Linked DNA regions of Lepisosteus oculatus. The protein of the gene in region 1 purifies or fractionates together with the protein of each later gene. This does not show direct contact. Links are inferred from orthologs where the notes say so. Each region holds a gene or a part of one and is shown on either strand. Other genes may lie near its edges.

The links.
Region 2: the proteins of ppp2cab (region 1) and ints9 purify together in Homo sapiens (affinity purification with mass spectrometry; 3 studies listed by BioGRID and IntAct, with this or other methods). This does not show direct contact. The link is inferred for Lepisosteus oculatus from reciprocal best matches to the Homo sapiens genes PPP2CA and INTS9.
Region 3: the proteins of ppp2cab (region 1) and ints12 purify together in Homo sapiens (affinity purification with mass spectrometry; 4 studies listed by BioGRID and IntAct, with this or other methods). This does not show direct contact. The link is inferred for Lepisosteus oculatus from reciprocal best matches to the Homo sapiens genes PPP2CA and INTS12.

The regions. Positions count from the first base shown.
Region 1 is NC_090706.1:23,920,521-23,928,422, forward strand, and holds the start of ppp2cab (serine/threonine-protein phosphatase 2A catalytic subunit alpha isoform), read left to right. Parts: upstream 1-4,899; 5' UTR 4,900-5,134; coding exon 5,135-5,236; intron 5,237-7,902. UniProt on the Homo sapiens protein: Catalytic subunit of protein phosphatase 2A (PP2A), a serine/threonine phosphatase involved in the regulation of a wide variety of enzymes, signal transduction pathways, and cellular events.
Region 2 is NC_090697.1:60,386,307-60,393,338, reverse strand, and holds the start of ints9 (integrator complex subunit 9), read right to left. Parts: upstream 3,010-7,032; 5' UTR 2,839-3,009; coding exon 2,830-2,838; intron 1,961-2,829; coding exon 1,833-1,960; intron 1-1,832. UniProt on the Homo sapiens protein: Component of the integrator complex, a multiprotein complex that terminates RNA polymerase II (Pol II) transcription in the promoter-proximal region of genes.
Region 3 is NC_090696.1:65,283,790-65,290,728, forward strand, and holds the start of ints12 (integrator complex subunit 12), read right to left. Parts: upstream 3,010-6,939; 5' UTR 2,787-3,009; intron 1,940-2,786; exon of another isoform or gene 1,937-1,939; 5' UTR 1,710-1,936; coding exon 1,554-1,709; intron 1,237-1,553; coding exon 1,081-1,236; intron 500-1,080; coding exon 312-499; intron 1-311. Other genes in the region: gstcd (glutathione S-transferase C-terminal domain-containing protein), read left to right, coding at 4,949-5,365, 6,228-6,659. UniProt on the Homo sapiens protein: Component of the integrator complex, a multiprotein complex that terminates RNA polymerase II (Pol II) transcription in the promoter-proximal region of genes.

The DNA.
Region 1 (7,902 bases):
AGCTAGATAGCTCCTAAATATTAGGAAAAACATGGTATCAACAAAATGAAAGAATGGGTAATACTATAAAGCTGAAGACACGATGCAGTTCAATAAAGTGCATTTTTCTAAAGGTTTTGTAGATTGCAATGAGTTGTTCCTCTACATAAATGTACAGTTCATTTGTATCCCACCAGTAATTAATCTGTGAATGGAATCACATACAAGATGAACAATGTGTATTCAACATGTGATTAGCAAGGTTCCACTTCTTAACATTCCTATTCACTTTCTATTAAGAATAAATACTTTCTCAACGCAACATTCGGAGGATGGATAAGCAGCTCTGTTGTCATTCTGCAATATGGGGCTCCATTAAGGGATGATACTGTTAACACTCTGAAACACTTTATTGCAGAAAATGTTTTTAACATTAACTATTGCACCAGCTTTGTGTTTTTATACCATATAATTCCTCAATTTCCCTTTGGGATCAATAAAGTCTTATATATATAATTCAAGTCCTTTTCTCTTTCTTCTGAAGCTTCAAATGTAATAGAAAGTACAATTTTAAGGCATGCAGATAACAGGTTCAGCTAATTAAGTTGAGCACGGTTCATTTTATTCTGTCTATATTTAGTACGACAGAAGACACTCGTGGCTTTCTTTGTCTCAATAGTCTGACTGATTGAAATGTAATTTCACGGCAATGAGTTTCTTCTGTTTTTCAGGTTTCTACTGATACACAGAGTAGTCGTCACAAGGACAGCAGTACCCCCGAATGAGCCACTTCCTTCCCGAATATGCAATGCAAACAACTCCTTGTATCTTGTTTTACAGGGATTTTTTCCATAAAAAACAATTCATAAAGTGATAGTGCCAATGCAGAATAAATTATGAATTTACATGAATACAATATTTGCTGCGTAGTTCTAACATAGTGCTAAACATTTGCAAATCACACAGCATTAATTCACTGAAAAGAACAGAATATTACCATCCAGAACCATACCAGTTGAGGAAGACTATGCAGTAGGGGCTATTAAATCTATTTATCTCTTTCTGTACATAACAAATAATATATACTGTAGATACGCAGTATCACATAAATTTCACATAAATTTGATATTTTATACCACCTTCCAGCCACAATGTTATTTTTGCTTTTACCTCAGAGTACCTACTTATAAGTTTTTTAATGTAGAACTTTATTTTAACAATTCTGTTATTGTTACTTCAAAATACTTCATAATAAATTCACATGGTCCGAGACTATTTGTGTGCACTATGCACAAATTGCTTCAGGTGCTTTATGGTAGCAAGCTGAAAATATTTTGGAACAGAAGCAATGCTCAGTGGTGTGGTATCTCTCACTGTGAGCCTTAATTAGAAGGTGGAGTTGTTTTTTGGCGTTTGTTTCAGCCTGCATCTTTTTGTTTTCCTCAGAAATAATTAGACTGTTGAGTTCAGAACAGTTAAGTTAAATTGCTTTGTGGCTTTTCTGCATATATTGTACTTGTGTACTCTGGAAAAGACTTCCAATGGGACCACCCATGAATCCATTGTTGGTGAGGGTCATGGCACCCTGGAGCTCATCTCAGAAACACAAGGCAGGGCTACATATGTGCTGGGACACCAATACAATATGGAGCACACATATCCACTTTGGGGGCACCCATTAACCTAGGAAGCATGTTGCTGGGGGGCTGGGAGGAAACCAGAGTACCTGCAGAAATCCCATGCAGGCTTTGGAAGAACAATCTCCACAGGTATGGGGTTCAAATCCAGGATTGAAGCCAGAACCCAAGAACTGTAAGGCAGCAGTGCTAAAAATTACGCCACATGTGTCTAAAAGGCATTTTGTCAATATTAGCCAAATACAATTTCTTGCATTAGGAATTCATCTTTTCACATACCCCAGCTTGCTCTTCATGAGACACAGAGGCACACAGACCAGGAGAGAGAAGCTTGGGATCAGAGCGCAGGGTCAGCCATTTATACAGCGCCCCTGGAGCGGCTGGGGTTAAGGGCTTTGCTCAGGGGCCCAATGGTATAGGATATCTCTGCTGGCCGCGTGATTTGAACCGGCAAACTTCCAGCTACAGACGCAGATCCTTAGCCACAGTTCCACCGCTCCACCCCTAGAGAAGGAGTTTGCCTGGGCCATACAGGGATCGAACCCGTGACCTTCCCTCGTTAAACATATCCATATCACATTAACATAGTTTCAAAATGTGAAACTGCTTATCTTGCTGGTTGTGCTTGATAATAGTTCTAACTATAAATAATAGTTAGCCCAGTGGTCCCCTCAATGGCCAATACAATAAAAATGATTAATGGGCCACACAGTAGTGCAGTGGTTATCATCACTTCCCTACAGCACTATGGCCCTGGGTTCAATTCCAGACCTGGGGTACTATCTGCTTGGTGTTTGAATGTATACACTGCGTCAGTGTGGGTTTCCTACCATAGTCCTAAAACATACAGGAAGGTTAATTTGCTTCTGGGAAAACTGGCACTAGGTGTCAGTGTATGACCTGTGATGGACTGGTGTCCCATCCAGGGTGTACCCTGCCTTGTGCCTGTTGCCTGCTAGAATAGGCTCCAGCTCCCCAGACCCTGAATTCGAAGAAGCGGTTAGAAAATTGATTAATGGATGATTAATTACTGATTGTTAAAATAAATAGTCCTGATCAGTATTTTTTGTATAAAGTTTTTCATACAATATTAACATATGCAGAGAATCACAGAGCCATTTAGTAATGCTCCTATCTTTTTTCTTCAATCTTTTTTTCAAATAATTTATCATTTTCCTTGCTCACATAATGTTCATGTAAATAAATATAATCCCATGCTTAAAAATATGAATAATTAGATTGCTTCTTTTTTGTACACCATTAGGTCATTTACTGCTGTGGCACTCTTTTTAAAGAAATGGGAATGTTCTTTGTTTTTCTTTAGTATTTAACCTGCTGATTCATGTTGCAGTGAAGAAGTCTAGCAAAATTTATTTTCTTGGCAGCTATTTACAGGAATAATAAATGACTTCATCTCCATGGGAAATGTCAATGCTTTAATTGTTGTGGTCACCTGGCCAGACTTTAAAAAAAGCTCTAAATAAATGACTTCATCCAACAGAACCACTGTTACCAGAGAGAAATGCTGTGGTTTCTCACTGTGACATGGTCATTGTGACTGGACTATTTAAAGATCACATTGTTTGTGTTCTACTGTGAAATAAAGGTAACTATAAATGTGACTACTAATGCACATGTATTTGCAGAAGATCCTCTTACAAAAGCTTTTTAAATGTAGATATTTCTATCACATATTAATACTCAGAAAAATCCATATAATTTTCTCAGATATCTTACTTTATGGTGTGACCTATTAATTTCATTGCAAATTAATATAATTGCAAGATACTGTGTACAGTATATATATATATGTGTGTGGTTTTTAATTTTCCGCACATATAAATTGGAAACTGGCAGACCTACTGTAAGCATCAGCATTTATGAAGGTGACAAGATACACAATCAACAGCAAGCCACTTTGTATTTATGGCAGGAATGCTGCGTATAATCATGCAACCAGGACAAAACAACAAAATCTAAGCTGGTACATCTGATGCCATAACGTCTCTTAACCATAGCTCTCAATTGGGCAGGGAAGTAATACAAAACAGACTCAACAATATTAGGACAGTAAGCTTAGCACATGAAACAAAACGGCTGTACTTTTTTCCCTTTTTGTTATTTCTTGACTTACTTGACAAATGCTTAAATATTCTAAAAGGCACTTTTTCACTCTCAAATATAAATATTTTGCAACCCTTCGGATGTAAACGTGAAACGTGTAAGACATGACAACAGTAATAGACCAATAACTAGGTTATGCAAGCAAATTACAGCTGACAGCCAAAGTTCAACAGCATGTCAGCATGTTTTACACCTTGTAAAGGCAACCATTCTACAGGTGCTGGGTAAATAGTCTTCTGTCCTTCTATATTCAGCACATTGTGATAGGAATCCATCAATGTAACTTGAAGTAAAACAGGTAATTTGAAAAAAAAAAAAGGAAATAGTCCTTAGAATTGAAGACGCACATTAAATGCGTAAAAAGAAAAAGCCTATCTGGGACCTAGACTGAATTCATATCTTAATATTGAAGCAGCCTTCTTCAAATACAACCGTATTCATTAACACAAATGTCTTATAACAGTATAAGACGGCTGTACACATCATTGTCTTGGTGATTAACATAATAATTAAAATGAAACATTACATCCATTACATCCATTTTAACATTGAATGGAAACTTGTCTTCAGAACGAATGTCTGACACTCATGGATTGTAGAAGATTTAAAAAACATTCACAAGCCATGACCGATTTTCAAGCGAATAAGGGGGATTAGGACGTTGTCAGTCAAAACCCTGCTTTTTGTTGAAATCGTAAGCAGCAAGTTATCTTTTTCAAAAAGGATTTTTGTGCTTGTTTATTTGCTTTCATATTGAGCTCCACAATTTTAATTGTGATGTGCTAATTATATAGAGTGAAGGGCTTTAAATGTTTGCTTTTAAATGTCCTACATAAAATGACATATTATTGTTTTAAGATTACATTCTCTGTTTTTTACACAGGGCATTATCCTTCTAAACGTGTATTATTTTACAGTGTAAATGTACATGTATTTCTGTACTGACTATAGCATTCAATCTATTTTATAACAGCTACAGTATTTCGGATAGCCGAGCTATAACACCTCCAAAGAATGGCGCGTATGGGTGTAACACGGTACTCAAAACCAGCAACATTGCCCACAACAGCGCTGCAGACAGGCTTACCACACTCCCAGTGCGGTTTTAGGCGGACTGTGTTTGCTTCCTTTTGGGACCGGAAGTGATCAGCGTCGTTCGTGACGTCAGGACGGCCATTAGGCAGCCGGAGAGGCAGGGGTGGGAAAGCGGTTGACTGACGTCTTCGTATTTCTTTTTTTATCTGCTTCAGTTAATAATTATAATTCCCACTTGCCGGGACTGAGTCTTTCCCTTCCCTCGCAGAGTAAACGGGGTTTGTAAAACAATAGGGCAGGGCGTTTTATTTTTTTCGTTTCTGTTTTATACTTAATCTTTTTTAGGGTAACGTTCAGAAATGGACGAAAAGGCGTTCACGAAGGAACTTGATCAATGGATTGAGCAACTCAACGAGTGCAAGCAGCTTTCGGAAAGCCAAGTCAAGACTCTCTGCGAAAAGGTAATTATTGTCTTTCTTCAGTACAACACAGAAATATGTCCATCTTAACTGGTGGAAAGGTGTATGGACGGGACGGTGTCGAGGGTTTCGAGCGGGTCCTCTCTTGCCCTGCATATACCGGCTTGTTAAGATGGCGGAGTGGATTGCCATTGGTTACCGATTCAAATGAATGAGGTATTATTCGTAAAAGCTCATTTGAAGCGGTATTTCAAGCATTTAACAGTTTATAATTCAAGAGTACTGAGCTGAGAAATAGACCTTAATCTAAAGCCTGCAGCAGCTCTGAAGGTGCAAGATATATAGGTTAAATGCATTGACTTAGGAACTTCTTTTAAAATAGAAAAAACAGCACTGCTGCCGGAGAAAGGTAGTTTAAATGATTAATATTTCGAACTGCCTGCGGACATCTTGGCACTGAATTGTTTGTAGCGGTGAAATTCGGCGTTAAATTGAATGCGTCGCTTTCCGATTGCTTTTTGCGATGGGCTGTAGTACATTCCTAAAATGGCGCCGATAGTTACACATAGCAGACTCCGAAAGCCGTGCAGGCTAACTGTGTTGTCCGGTAACGTAGCTATACGAAAAACGATCTCTATTTATCGTAGTAGTTATGCGTTTTTATCAGATAAGCACTTTGTCTAGGTTCCCTAAATTCGAGCAACGAGACCTCGGCCCAGTTTATTAAGGTATTTTGTTTTTGATGAGCCGCCGTATTCCGGTGTAATGCTGTAGCGGTGGTTTTTAGAAGCTGGCGTTCTTTCTTAACTTTCCTTGCTTTGTTTCTTGCTCAGAATATTTTTAAGTACTGAAAGGCAGAGTAGTGTTTACTTTTAAAACAACGCTTACAGTGGCAACTTCTGACTTAAGTGTAGCCTCACATGGAAGTTGAATTAGCTCGCCTTTAGCCCTTGGTGATTTTAAATTCAATAGAGGTATATTAATAATGATTGGTATTTTGTCTAGATTAAATAGTAAAATTATGGATTTTATTTTTTTCATTTGTATTTTAAGTTTATATGTAGTAGTGGTCAAGATCTGCTCTTTAGTATGTAAAACAACTCAACGTTTTGTAGGGCTGTTCTCAAATGTGAGAGTTATGAAGTGATGATCACTGTGACAGAATAAAGGGGACAGCCGAAAGAAGCGCCACTAAACGAAACAAGACCCCTGTCTTGGTGGGTAGCTGCGTCAGCATGCAAAGGAACAAGTAATAGGTTTATTCCATGCTGAAGAGCGAAAACACAACGTTTGACTGTGAAACCTTCTTCATGTGTGCAGGTGTGCCCTCTGTTTAGGTTGTGCATTGTTACAGTAAAGTTACCCATAAGGTTTTTGGACCCTTGAGAGTCGTTTTCCATCCCTGATCCTGAAGTACTCCTGTCTCTTCTGGTTTTCATTTCCAGTGAGCTGTCAGTCAGTTAAGTGTCTTGAATCTTTGATATATTTTTAACTATTTTTTGTACACAGGACTTTCACAAATGTTTTGTTGTTTCAATTATATATATCGAGAAGAACTATAAACTTAGTTTCAAGTGAATGTTCCTCTAAATTGGAATTCTGTGTTCTTATTACCCAGATAGTGACATTTCTAAGCATTCCTTGTGGAGCATGGCTCTATTTGTTAAATGCACCCAAGTCGCGGAGGCAAAGCTCAATGAGAGGAGAGTTGAACTTGGCATCTGGTACAGGTTTAATGCAAATTAAGCTTGTTGTATTATGTCTTGGCATGATGGCACAGTGGTTAGCATTGCAGCGCTCAGGCCCTTGGTTCAATTCTGGACCTGAGCTTCTATCTCTATGGAGTTTGTATGTTCTCCTTGTGTTTGTGTGGGTTTCCTTCGGCTGCTCCAGTTTCCACCCATAGTCAAAAAACATAATGTTATGTTAATGTACACAATGATGAGGATGGAGGATTTCCTAATGAGTAGGCCAGACTAGGTTTGGCTGCATCATGGTTAGTACTGAAAGGGGATCGTTTATTGTTAATCTTTTTCATACACTGCCAGACGTTAAAAATGAACTGTTTTGGAAGCAGGTCTGTGTGGACTATAGGGAGGACTCCCACTATATATAGTAACTTCTGGGTTTACATTTTGTATCTTGTCAAAAGACTCCTGTACCAAATCAAAAGAAAAGTGCTCTTAAGCTGTGTGCTTTCTTCCTGGTAAACTAATGAGATTCATGAGATTACAAATTAATCTAAGTTACTTTCACAGAGGAACATCAATGTAAACAAAGTGCTAAAATACTTATTATTGGCTATTATCATGTACTCTTTCAAGTGAGATTCAGTGGTTTTGTAGGTGGGTGATTTCATGTAAGGTGACTTTTGTGAAAGTTAAATGTCTAGTTCTGGGTCAAAGTTAACTGTCAGCACAAGGCATTTCTTTAAAATGTCTTTTAAAATTACCCTTCCCAGAACATGGTATGTAGTAAAGAATTATTTCCCTTGCATTTTTTATCAAGGGAGAGTCAATGTGTAGCTATAAAATTAGACAACAAATTTGGGTTTGGACCTTAGACTAAAGTACATTTTTTTAAGTTCATATATTGCTATTGTATATGTAGGGAAAAATGGAAATAACTATGTAAAGTTACTTAATAACATGTTAAGCCACCATGAGTGGCCAGTACCACCTTTATGCTCCATGGCATTGAGTCTGCTT
Region 2 (7,032 bases), on another chromosome or scaffold:
ATCACAGCTAAAGAGTAATACATTAAAAATAATAGTTAATAAAAATGTTAGAATACAAAATATCAAGCTTTCATGTTTGCATAGTCCACCCTAATTCATCCAATTTAGGGTCACTGGAGTGAGAGCCTACCCTGGCAAGCAACAGGCACAGGGTGGGATAAATGCTGGATGGATCTCCAGTCCACGGCAGGACATACACACTCACACACTAGGGCTAATATTAACATATCAGTATGTCTTTGGACTAGAGCACCCAGGGAAAACCCATGTGAACACGGGGAGAACATTCAAACTCCACGCAGATAGCACCCAAGGAACTAAACCCAACGCCCCAGCACTGCGAGGTAGAAATTCTAATCACTGCACAATAATGCTGCCCTATTTTGTTATGCATTAATTAAATCACAAAAAAAATGTCAGAGAAATTATTATTATGTTCTACCTAATGCAAACTACCCAATCTCTCCTCTTTTTGTAAACCAATTATGTATGTGATTTGTTTATTGATAAATAAAAGAATTACATAACTACAATATTTCCATCGAGTGACTCCAAACCTGAGCTGTAATTAAATTTAAAATACAGCACTAGAGTGCAAATTACAGCTAATGACTAGTGCAATTGAGTGGTAGTGATTACAATTCTAAACATTAACAAGGAACATAAACAATTTTTAAAGGTCTTGTATTTATAACTTTCATTGTCACTGCCATTAAACAGACTTGATTTGTATTATATTACAATAAAGTAACATCAAGATTTGTGAACAAAATCAAGATCTATCATTACTTAACTAAACAAACAAATGTCTTTATGTGAAACCAAAAATTAGATACAGCTCATTTTACTTGAAACTAACAAAACTATGAGTTTTGACAATGAATGTTGGCCATTTCTTTTAGATTGTTTTTTTCTATACTTCTAACCAAATCTTTGTTCATTCAAGCTCCAGGTTTTTAAAATGTTGATTTCCAAATAAGCATTATAATTATTTTACAAATGCTGACTGTTTTATTTTTTCTCCACTATTTGGATGTCCAGTTGTTTGCGAGGAATTGTAAAGTCTACAAATAAAAAAAACAACTAGATCGCACGCTCCAACAAATCTTCAGGGTCTTTGTTTAGAGTGGTTTGATTTATATAAATATCGCCATAGGAGAAGTGGGCTTTTCAGCCAACCATCAGATCACATTTTATCCTCTCAATCTAACAGCTTTGTAAAATATCTTGGCTTTCCTGAAGAAATCCAACCCTCTTTACTTATTCTCCACAAACAATTCACAAAGGAAAAAGGGAGAACATGCTAGGTCAACTTTATATTTAAAAGATAACACTCACTCAATTTTGAGGATGTTTCTGGGAAATTAAAATTACATAGAACAAGAAGAATATGCCAAATTCCTTTGTAAAACATCACAACATCATCACTTTCAATAGTTGCCCGTCCAATTCAGGGTCACAGTGGCCCTTCCAGAGCCTATCCCTGGAAGCACTGAGCACAAAGCAGGCTACACTCTGGATGGGATGCCAACTCATTGCTGGGCACACACTCCCAGTAAGGCAAGTGTTACAGAAGCCAGTGAACCTACCAGCATGTCTTTGGACCACGGGATGAAGCCGGAGCACCCACAGGAAATCCACGCAAACACAAAAAATCATGTAAACTCCACACAGAGATCATGCCAGGAATTAAAACCCAGGACCCCTGCACTGGGAGGCAAACATGCTATATACTGTGTCACCATGCTGTTCTTTGAAAAACGTTTCACCAATAACATGTGTGAATTTTACTATGAAGACTGTATTTTTATTTTTTTTGTTGATGGTCTTACCTATGTACTAGAGGCAAAGGCAGGAAGTGCAGCGCTGATGTCATGTCAAGCCCACAGTCCAGCATGATGGTTGTAGATTTGAATTTGAGGACATTGCAGGGCAAGGTTGGATGACCAGACAAGCAGTACTACACAAATACAGGATAACACACATCATGTTTTTAAACCATGAGAGGCAATTGCATTTAAAAGTATTTATCAATAAGCTATGTCAGAAAAATGTTTTTTTTTTATGAGCTTCAATTCTTAAATTTAAATCCAACTACTGGGATATTCTTCCTTCTTTATTCACACGACGTTAGTGATGACATACATGATAAAGTTGATTTATTACAGTCCATCAGACAAACTGGAACAGACATCGAACCATTTACAATTGATTACGTAAAAGAAGAACATTTTTTTAAAGCGGTGAACAAATCTTTTCCTGTAAGTACAAAACAAAGTACAGAACAGTAAAATACTAAATTTGCTTGCAAAACATCATGACGTTGAACTGTACTTATTTTCATCGTTCAGCAACACTGTGCTATATAAAAATAATTACTTGCAGACGTGAAGCGCTTTATGAAAGGGACCGACTCCATCTATTAAAGTGCAGCAATTTGATTACACACAATAGATAATGTGAAGAAGTACGAAACTGCTTTGTCATCTGAATTAAAACAATTGCAGAAAGGCCAGATTTAAAATAAACCAAAACTGAATTAAACCAGGACACTAAGCTTAATACGTCAGGTTTTGCGTGCACTAGTCTTTTCCTTAATGCATATACTGTACATTAGTAAAGTGGTAAACATTAGATTATTTCTATTCAACACGTGTCCAGCTTTTGTAAAATGTAACGTGAATTGTCCAAACGAACTTCAGTCACCTTTTCCTGCTAATAACATAAAAAACGTTCCAGTTTCTCTAAAGTTCCCTCATTCAACTGACCCATGCTTATTGCAGCCTGGACTTTGCAACAAGAAATGAAATAACTTAATTGTATACTCACTAGTTTCATCCTGAATTGTTATGTCAGATGACCTAGATGTACAGTATATATTTACAATCCCCACGCCAAATCTTTTGGATTTCAAGAGTCAAAGTTGATAGTTCACTTCAACATACTTCCTGTGGTCACCTCCTCTGGGAGATGTAGTTTATTTTTTAATTTTCACTGCCGGGTAGCTAGAGCAAAGGGTGAAAAGGGAACAGAACGCAGAGCGACGTGTGACGAGTGTTTCTGTCGGCCGCTACTTTGTAGTCCCGCTGGGAGTAGGTCCATGACGTTAACGGGAATTGTAGTTCTCGGTGGAAGCCTGTCGCTTCAGATTGAGAGGGACTCGGTTTTATACTTTGTGAGAAACTACGGTTCCCGACGAACCTCATTCTGCTTTCTGATGTTGATGTCAATATGGCTGCTGTCAGACAGACAAAGGCAAGTCAGTCTAGTCTCTGACTGAAATCAAATTAGAAGGAAAAGGACAGCAAGGGTTTCAAAAAATAACTCGTGTATGTTTTGTTTCGGTGCTAAATTCGCGGGATCACTCTAGGAATTTATTTGTATTCCTGTTATTAAATGGTGTGGTGGACGGAGGCCCAAGATAAACTGATAAAGGTAAGAATTATGTGTCAATATGCAGCGTCTGGATTAGTTTACACTGTTCGAATGATATACAGGTCGAATTTTGATCAGGTGTATTTCAGTTTTAATGAAACGTGTATTGGTTGCTTGTGTACACTGACTCCGATCTGAACATAAAGCCAGGTCTTTTGAAACTGCAAAAGTAAACATGATTAACTATCATAAGTGTTATCAGTGTTATGCTTAGTGGGGGAGTTATCTTCAGATTTTTGTTCGCACAGTATGTGCTTCTCAACACAGAATGTCCTTTGAGAATGCATTGTCAGCTAGATGTTCATCACGATGCCATGTCTATAAAATGCAAACTAATTCATATTTTGGGAAGAATAAGCGACCTGCATTTCTTCTGGATTATCAACTCGAAATGCAGTAGTCCTAAAATGATCCATAATTTACACATTTTTAAAGTGCAGCACGCTAGGTGTTGCAGTGGGTGGATGGTGTTTCTTACTCCAGCAGCCGTAAACATTGTACCCTGGGACGTGTGTTTATTTTGGTGGTGCAAGTATGTGGTAGCTTTTGGGCGGTGTGGGCGTTTTGGTGGTCTTGAAGTATAATGACGTAACTCATTTCTGAATGTGTGACGTCTGACCGAGCGGAGGTGTATGACCTGTAGTAGCAAATACTAACTCCCTAACGATTATCATTCATGTTCATCATCGTCCTAATAGTGTCAAGTATATTTAGTCTGACCTTGTTTATTGAATCAACACATTCTTTCTCAGTAATATATGTTCAAATTAATTGCTATAGATCAAGGGAATATTGAGTGGGCTGTTCTACATAATGCATCGTTTAGATGCATCAAAAACAGAAGAAAATTAAAGTTGTCTGTTTGAAATGAATTGGAATGAATCAGTTTTTGACTCGTTTTGACTCTTACATATCATTGTGACCTTATGATAATTGCTCTGTACAGTACAAATTAGAAATAAATCTCAATGCATAGTGTGTACAGAATGGAGCAGTCATTGTACCTTTAGCAAACAATGTTGTGTTGTCTAAAATACAACAGTAAGTGAAGAATCCTTCACTGATAACTGCGAAATCCACAGTTCTGGACGTTTTGACATATGTGAGTGTTGCTAATTCTGTTTTGTTGTTTCTCTTTGTAGAACACTGTGAAAACTTTTTGTGTTCAATAATTTCCAGAGGTGTACTGGAGTTAGACTCTAAGATCAGAAAATAATGCAGTTAATGTTAGACCTGTTCAGAGATAAAGAGAATCGCACCATTTTACCTCAGTGTGGATTTGCATTTGTATCTTGAAGAAAAATCAGCATGTCTAGTCAGCCTTTCCTTTAAATGGCTGTCTGCCAAAGTGAGTCACGGGCCGTATGCTCCACTTGTAAACGTGAACTTCTACAGGTATCCAGGCTGTAACTTGCCCCCATTTGGAGAACAGGTGGTGGAAAAAGGGCATGTTTGAAGACACTAACCCACCTTGATCTGAAATTATGATATCACATCTGTCTTGACCAATTGTGTGGTGCCATTAACAAATTGGTGCTGCGTCACTTCCCAAACTGACTGGCAGCAGTGTGTGACTTACTTCTTTTAGGTGAACTGTCATTGCATTTTGTCATCGTTTACCCTCTGTGATCTGGTCTGTGTCCTGACTTGAATTTAACTAACATATCTTCAGATATCGATGGGCAATTTCATAGGCACTGTCTATGCTTACTTTAATGCTTGTTGGATCATGTCACAAATGGGTTTCATGGGATTATATTACTCTTTACCAAGGCCATAATAAAGAACTGTTCTCCTCAAAAATTACAGCATAGCGTTCTTTGCCGAAGTACATGGGTACTATTCTTAGCCAGCAGATCCCCTTACAGAAAATAAGGTGAACATTGCAAGACGTTACTTTAGTAGTTACAATACCATCAAAGCCTAAACTAGAATTCGTCAAGGCTTGGAAACTTCTTTGAAACTTGGGCTTTTAACCCAATAAATCTCAAAGCACTTTACATACAGGAGAAGACCCACTTCTTCTACCTGTGTAGCACAGTGCCCACCTAGGCAGCAATCATGTGCCAGCAGCTCCACTATACAGCAGTTCAGGGATTGAGTTGAGAAACAGCCTCACCAATTCAGTTTAGAGGAAAATTTAGGAAAGCCAGACTGTACGTGATCAAAGTCTACTTTAGACAACATTCCTACCTTTTCTAAAAATGTCATAGGATCTTTGGTTTTTGTCAGGACTTCTATTTCAAGTATCTGAATGTCAGCAAATCCTAGAGCACAGTTGTAACAGGTCCCCATACGGGGACATTGGTTTGGAAATTCTGGCCCAGAGGGAAAAGTGCGATCTATTCCTTCACCAATTCCACTTACAACAGCAGTCTGGTTTTCTTTGGGGTTTCCTATGAACAGGCTCAAACTGCATAGCTTCATATATCTGCCTAGAAGGCGACAATGCTGCTCCTTCAAGATAACAAGGGCCCTTACTTTATCAAATGGCATTATGTGAACATCCAGCCATAGAAGTCAAACCTTTGCTTTAAATTCCAGCAGTGGCACATGCATTACAACTCATTTTACAGACCCAACTGCTGTACTTGAGTACTATCTTCCAGGAGCAACCTGATTTTCCTCAGAACCCCCTCACCCAAGTATTGATCAGGCTCAGCTTTGTTGAGTTGAGATGTGGTGAGATCAGCTCTGATTTTTCTCTTCAGTAGTTCTTTGATGATCGTCTGGGGTGTTGCAGTCTGCTGACAGTGGTAAATGACGATTGTCTGCCAGTGTATGAACAATAAGCAAGATAGCTGTGTTGTGTTTTTGGACCCCTGCTTGTTGGAGGCAGTTACTATAAGCGCACATGACTGCAGCACATACTGCAGCTGCATTTCACAGAGGATGTTTATGTTTTTTGTTCCCTGAGAAGTCTAGATTCATCACTGTAATTATCTTTTATATTCCCCGGGAACTTTGCCAGTGTATTAACTTTCCCCATTGTATCTCATCACCTTTCCGTCAGTGCTTATCGCCGTCCTCTTGTTGGATATGCGTAACCCTCCTTTGGGTACCATGCAAAGTCCATACTAATGGATTTTGTAAATCAAATAAAGCGATGAAATAAACTGATCTATAATTATTAGAACATTTTCCATTTTGTGTGCATGTGTGGTGGAGGTGTCCCATGTGGATATTGCGATGGATGACTTCGGCAAATGCCTTCAACCCACTTCTGTGCACAAATTGCTAGCCTAATCTCTTAATATTGGTTTATTTTGAATTCTGTATTAAAAGTTCCTCAACCTCAGGAATGAATCAATATAATGTGTTTGTGTGTTCATTTACCGTATACTTAAAATATCTCAAAATACCACTTTGGTTTCCATAAAGTGAATTTTATTCATTTGACACCCTGTCCGCATTAATGAAAACAATATCTTTATTTCATAGCTTCAGCAAGGGTAAGATCATTATGTTTAAGGTGACTGTGTTTTGTGCCTGTTTATTGTATTTTGAAGGTAGTTTAAGGTTTCAAATCATAAAATTGCCTCATAATATGAAATTTGTTGATTTCCTCTCAATAATATCGATTTTAAGAAGCCAGAC
Region 3 (6,939 bases), on another chromosome or scaffold:
AAAAGGTACTATCCCAACTGAAGTAATTTTTTTTTGTATTCTATAACTGTGATGCGCAGAATGGTGAAATACCAGCTTCTATTCCCAAATACTGGTTAGAAAAATCTAAGAAAATTATAAAAAAACCATTAAAGTATGGCAGGCCAATTTTTATTTTTCAGTTTAGTTAATATTTATTAATATACTAAAACATACAAATGTGTAAAACTGTAATAAAAGACAAGATCGTCTTTGCTTTATTTAGATTACTTTATGTTCTATAGGTGATCAACCTAGGCTGTTCATACTGTATGCAATGAGACGTTACTCACCTACAAACCACACAAGCCAAACCCATCTCCATAGCAAAATCATCGGCACTCGTCTCGTCAAAGCTGGACAAATCAGGAATGGGGAGGTCCTTGCTAGTTTGAACTGTGATGGGAGACGATCTATTCTCCTGCTTCTCCAGGCGAGGTTTCTTTGGTGGGTCAATTGCATCAACGGGATCCACTTTAACCTGAAATGACAGAATACAGGTGAAACTGTGGCACGTGTATCATAGGAGCCCCCCAATTTTAATTAACACCCAGCAATAGCAAACTTCCTATTGGGTTTCTACTAAGTAGTAATTATTAAAATATTATTTTTCATATTACAGTATTTATACATGCGAACAATACTGATTTGGGTTTCCTATTGGGTTTCTACTAAGTAGTAATTATTAAAATATTCTTTTTCATATTACAGTATTTATATATGCAAACAATACTGATTTGGGTTAAATTTTTAAATACATTAAGTATAAGAACACAAGGACCTTTGTCCTAAGATGAGTGATGGTTAAAAACATTGTAACCATTAAAAAAGCCACAGAATGTTCAACAACATTGTGTAAATGTGAAACAGTCTACATAAGCTTTGCATGCTAATGATACAACTCATGTATTCCTGCTCAGTTTCACCTTAAGAATGAGATACCTAACCCAAGGTATCTGAAAAACTTCAGATAGTGGTTGTTTAGAAACTAGGACTGGCAAATGCTTGCCATCCTCATGAATGGGAATCTTCCTTTTTTTCCTCGTTTTCCTGACAGTTTACCTTCTCCGATGTTCTTTTCTCACTCTCTTTTTTGCTTTTTTCAGAGCTGCTTGACTTGCCATTGCCACTGCCTGAGGAAGAGGAGCTAGAGGAAGATTTTGTCTCCTGCTTGCTCAAGCTCACTTTCGTAACGGTCACCTTGGAGACCTCCACTTCCTGTTTGGGGAAAGAAAGATTTCACACCACAGGTAGGACACGCCAGTGAAGAACAACAACAAAAAAAATAGAACAGAACAAAATGAGTGAAACTCTTTAAAGACAAGTCTTTGATTACTTTTACTCTTGTAGGCTGAACTGTGTCCAGATTACAGGATTTCCTTTGTAAACAAGGTTCAAACACAAGGCAAAGCCCTTTTTTGTTACATTTTAAAATGTTATTTCTCAAAAAAAAAGCAAGGTCATGGCTCTGCAACAAACTAGTGCATCATGGCTCAAATGTAAGGCCTTACTCATAATTTTCTGCAAAGGGTTACCTTGAGCGTGGTCCGATAGTTTGAATCACTTCCCCTTGCCAAGGATTCATCTAGCAGTGCCTTCAGTTTCTCTGCTGAATCCTTGCTTTTGGAATGCAGGTATCCAAGGCCTTTCAGAAAGATTGGGTCCAGCTCCAGACTTACAGTGGCAGCCATGATCTCTGTCAGCTGTTATGGACATACAACATGAATCTGCAAGGGTCTTGATGCGAGAGTTGCCATCAGTGACAGAGCATACCTTAAGTGTGCAGTCTGAACGTGAAGGAAGGGCCAAAGGCTGATGCATTTCTTTGTCTGTTACTGTTTAACTGACAAAACATTATGCATCATTTAATCTCTTTTCTGGTTCAGAGAGTGGCCACATTTCCCTCAATCCTGTTCAGCTGCTGGAAAACATAAGAAAATGACTGCTTGCATTTAATATTAAATAGTTACTTACTAAATGGACACCTCCACCAAAAGCCTGCACTATATTGTCAGGGATGTATAGGTTTAGCTTTTTCTGCAGATATATTTTTATGACTTGAATCTCATTTTGTCCTATTTTCAGAAAATCAGAGGTCAAATGGAAATTTGTAAAAGTATCTGAATAGTCACTTTGTAGTGTAACAAACGATATTAATCTCTTGGTTCACAGCCATATGAAACATGCTGTTATGCTGTTACAGTCGCACCGAGTAAATTGCCAGTTGGATCGTCCAAATTTTATTAATGAAATGCCCTGTCGTTTATTTCAAAACCTAATACTATTACAGTTAAGTCATGATACTGATATTTTCTATATGAACAAAAATATTCATTGGTATTCCCTTTTATAAATATCTAACAGCCAGTGGTGGTAACGCTTTATATCATAAGGAAAAAAATAAGCATTTTTGATTAATTTATTCGTATGATTTATTCCCTTCAGAACTATTCTGAACGAACTATTTTGTCCAGAATCCGGAACCAGCCGTACAACTACTCCGCAGCACAGGATATACTATTGCTAAAGAAAAACACGTATTACACAATAACAAAATCTTTGAGATTAAATGCCTTTTTTTCCAAATATTACTTCACCTCTCTAGTTTTACACTTCATCACCACTGGTGTAAAAATCTCGGAATGGGAATATTGCTACTAGATTTCCTAATCTGTCATCTGGACGGAAGTACATACATACACCTTGCAACAAACTTATTTCAACTGTAATTTAAACACCTCTTGTTTTTAACGCATTTCCTTTCTTACCTTTGTTTTTCGAAAATAAAAAACAAAAATAAACTGATGCAAACTAACATCTGTTCAATTTATATACCTATACATATATATATAGCTCCGTATATTTACAATTTACGCCGTGAGCATGTCCCTTTCCGATATGATCTATAACCATCCTTCCCCTTTTTGTGTTCGGGGGAAACAAAACATAATATTTGTACCCTATCGGGGAAAAAAACTTTTTTGATCGTTCATAAAACAGTTAATCAGCATTTAAATCATATAATAAAAACAGTTAATTCATTTACGTGCCATTTTTTCCAACTACTTAACGACTATTTAATTTAAGATGACGTTTCCCAACCGTCGGTTAAGGGTGTGAGATGTTACACGGACACGTTTCTTGGTGACACAAGGAAGAAAAGGTTTGAAACAGCGTGACTGTGTGCAAAGAGAACTGTAGCTGCAGAGGCTTGCTGTGAGTAGAGTAAGCTGATTTCGTTTTTGACGCTTGCGAAAACAAACAAGAAAAGCGGTGAATTGAATGGGAGAGATTCAAACAGTAAAATAATAATAAACATCAACAACTTCTTTTAGGCGCAACATGTTTATAAAGCTAGACATGTGTACAAGATCTGTATAATAAAAACCCTACAGAAATACCTCTTGATATGTTTTTACTTTTAAGTTAAATGTTGTAAATGAAACGAAATGTCGTTGTCATTTTAACTATTTTAATTTAATTAAACGTCTGATTTGTTATAGTGTCTTAGGGTCCACTTGGGCTAGAGAGAGAATTTTAGTGCACTTGTCTTGAAAACTGCTTGTTCAGTTACATTTGATGTTGATCGCATTCGCATGAAGGGTGTTGAATCTTTTACTCCTCACCTTTAAAAAATGAAAAATTTGCAGTGAAGTTGAACTAATCTTAACGGTAGCATATTTTCATTGACACGCTGATTTTTCTCTTGGGCAGAACGTATGTGTGGGTCACAGCATGTCTTTCTCTTCTGGGGGCTCTGTAGATTCATCTGCTTTTTATTGCTGCTTCTCATTTGAGTTAAGCTTTTAATAGGAGTCAGATAATCTGGTTTTAGGTCATAGTAAATTTCTAATGTAAAGGCAAAACAACAGACCTGCATACGTTTGTCTGATTTTCTGTAAATCAGTCCTAATCATTAATCTCTGTAATATGGTCAGATTATGAATGCCCCTGCGATAAGTCCACTAACGTGCCCTTTTAAATTTTAGGTGTGTCGTTTCTGAGACCTGGGTGAAACAGTGTAATGACGTTTCCTGTAATGGTCATGACATCTGTTTTGCACTGGTCTGCAGTTGTGCTGATGTTGCAGTTGCTTAACAGAAAGGAGGTGGATTTCTAAAATGGTCTGCTTGATTCCAAACAGTAGATCACGAAGACACACAGAGTCACACAAGACGACTTTGGCTGTTATTTTTTGAATCCTTGTGTCCTGCAATTTGGCTTTCCTAAATTCTGTATTAATTCAACAGGGAAATCAATTTCTCACTTCTATGCCTGATCTGCTGTAGAGTGGCACTGCCACATATCCCAAAATAATAATTAATAATTGCTTACACTTATAAAGTGCTTTTCTGGACACTCCACTCAAAGTGCTTTACAGGTAATGGGGACTCCCCTCCACCACCACCAATGTGCAGCATCCACCTGGATGATGCGACGGCAGCCATAGTGCACCAGAACGCTCACCACACATCAGCTATTAGTGGGAAGGAGAACAAAGTAATGAAGCCAATTCAAAGAGGTGCACCTCTTCAGTTGTGGACTGTGGATCCCCTTCTATATATGAAGCACTTGGGAATCCTTTGTTTTGCAAAGTGCTACTGTATATAAAAGGAAAAACATTCGCTTACTATCACATTGCAATGACTTTTCCTATGCATAGTTTCAAAGATGTTACATATACACTTCTTGAATATTAAATGTTAAACCCTGTGTATGTAGAGTATGTATAGAAAATTATTGAGAATCACACTATCTCGTCATTGAGTCTTACAGATTGAGGCTGTACTCTAAAGGTTTAGCCCATATTTCTACTTTAATAAAGCTAAAAATATAAGTACATAAATGTACCTACAGACTTATTGTGCTGTTATGTGAACATTTAATATTCTTTTCTTTTTACAGAGTATATTGCTGTGCCTCCAATGCAATGAAACACACAAATTCAAAAAGGGGAGAAGAGTGTCTCTACCTGGACATTTCTGACCAGAGTGAAGAGGCCATTCTCCCTCTCCACACGTCCATAACGCTCTTTCTCCTGTCGTACTGTGACTCCAAGTTATTCCGTGTCTTCCTGGTTCCTTCTCGGCCTGACCCGGCGCAGTCATGGAGGCACCGAGTGCCGGGGGGCCTGGCCGCCAGCGTCGTCTCCGAACAGGACCTGCCCGCGCTGGTGAGAAGCTGTTGCCTTCCTGCGGTGCTGGAGGAGGAGGGCAGGTATTGCCGAGCAGGCCTGGCCGTAGTGCTGAGACATATCATTCAGAGGACTTGCGAGGAAGATCCCAGCCGCAAGGATGTAGCGGCCCTGCTGGGCTTCAAAAAGACCTGCCTCAAAGCCTGTGCCGAAGTAAGTCTGTTATCTCATTCTTTTGTTTTCCTTTTGCTTGTTTATTAATGCAGATATGCTAGACTGTATTGTTGACTATCTAATTACTGTAGGTGTATTGCTTGTGATGATAATTTTTTTTACTACTACATTTTTATTAACCATTCCAGCGAAGGTAGTTTCTCATATCACTTCAGCTTATTGTTCATCAATAAATAGGGGAAGAAAAACAGTCCTGATCTTAAGCAGTATGGTATTCACTCATTATACTTCACTGAATCATTTCTGCACGTTCGAAACGAAAAAGTCTTTTTTAACTGAGATGGGGAAAGTGCATTTTACACAACGGGTTTATGTTAAACAAAGATAACTTGCTGAACAAATAGCTCCTGAGAATGACAGTGAACACATATAAGTAGAACAAGTATACCCCATTCGACGCCCATCTCCCCAGAACAAACAAGCACTCAGGTTATATTTGTGAGGTTCACATGGACATGATCTGCTATTATTACCATACTTTTGTTTAGTGGTATGTGCTTTAGAGGGGCATTTGTAGTCTGTTCTGTTTTGTGTGTGACTTTCAGTAGTCATCATATTAAATCATATGATGGAAAATGCAGATAGTGTAATTTATTACATTGCAATGGAAATTGATTTAGTTTATAGGAACAAATGACAGGTCTGTTTTCTGCTACTTGTATGGTGTAGTTATGTTGCATCACCAGGATAAACCTTATATTACTTCTGTCATAGGTAGGGGAGGTCATCAGTGATTATGATAATAGTTTTAAAAGGGGACATGGGGCTGCTGTATCTCTGTCTTGAGGGAAATGTTAGTGAATTCTATTTACTGGAATAACTGTGTTGATTTCTGGCCTAGGTGAGTCAATGGACGCGGCTCTGTGAGCTCAACATCCCCTCAGCTGTGGAGGAATTTCTCAGGCAGCCTGCAGGCCCAGATCCAGAGATACCCGCCGCTATCTTGCGCCTGGAGAAGAAACTGGAAGAGCCCGTTAAGGTCCACAATGACGACAAGATCCGCCGGCAGAAACTGCAGCAGCAGAAGGAAGAGGCAGGCTCTGCCACCCAGCCTGCTTCATTCCGGGAGTCAGTGAACTCGGAAGAGCTGGAGCTGAGGGCTGCCTTGGCCAAGCTGTCTGTGGAGGATACACCTTTGTCAGCCACTAGGGGGCCCTCTAACATCAGGAGAGTCAAGACCACTGAGCTGCCCGCCCTAGAGCATGTGTTTGCAGAGGGGCTGTACTTCACCCTTACAGACCTTGTCCTGCTGCCTTGTTTGCACCACTTTCTGGTAAGGATGCAAATCAGTGAAATTGTGAATAACACAGGCCAGGTGCTATACTTAGTGAAAAAAAGTTGTTTTATTCACAACTTTTTGGAGTCTTTATTGTGGGTGAAAAAAGTACTTGTAGTTTTACATATGGGGGGGGGGGGCTCACCAATGCTATTAATTCAATAAAAATCTTTAATAAAATAATTAAATGTTAGTGGATGTATCTTTAGCTTACACATTAACTTGTATTCAGCTACATTTCAGAACTTACATTCAAATATAATTGTGGAAGTGAAAA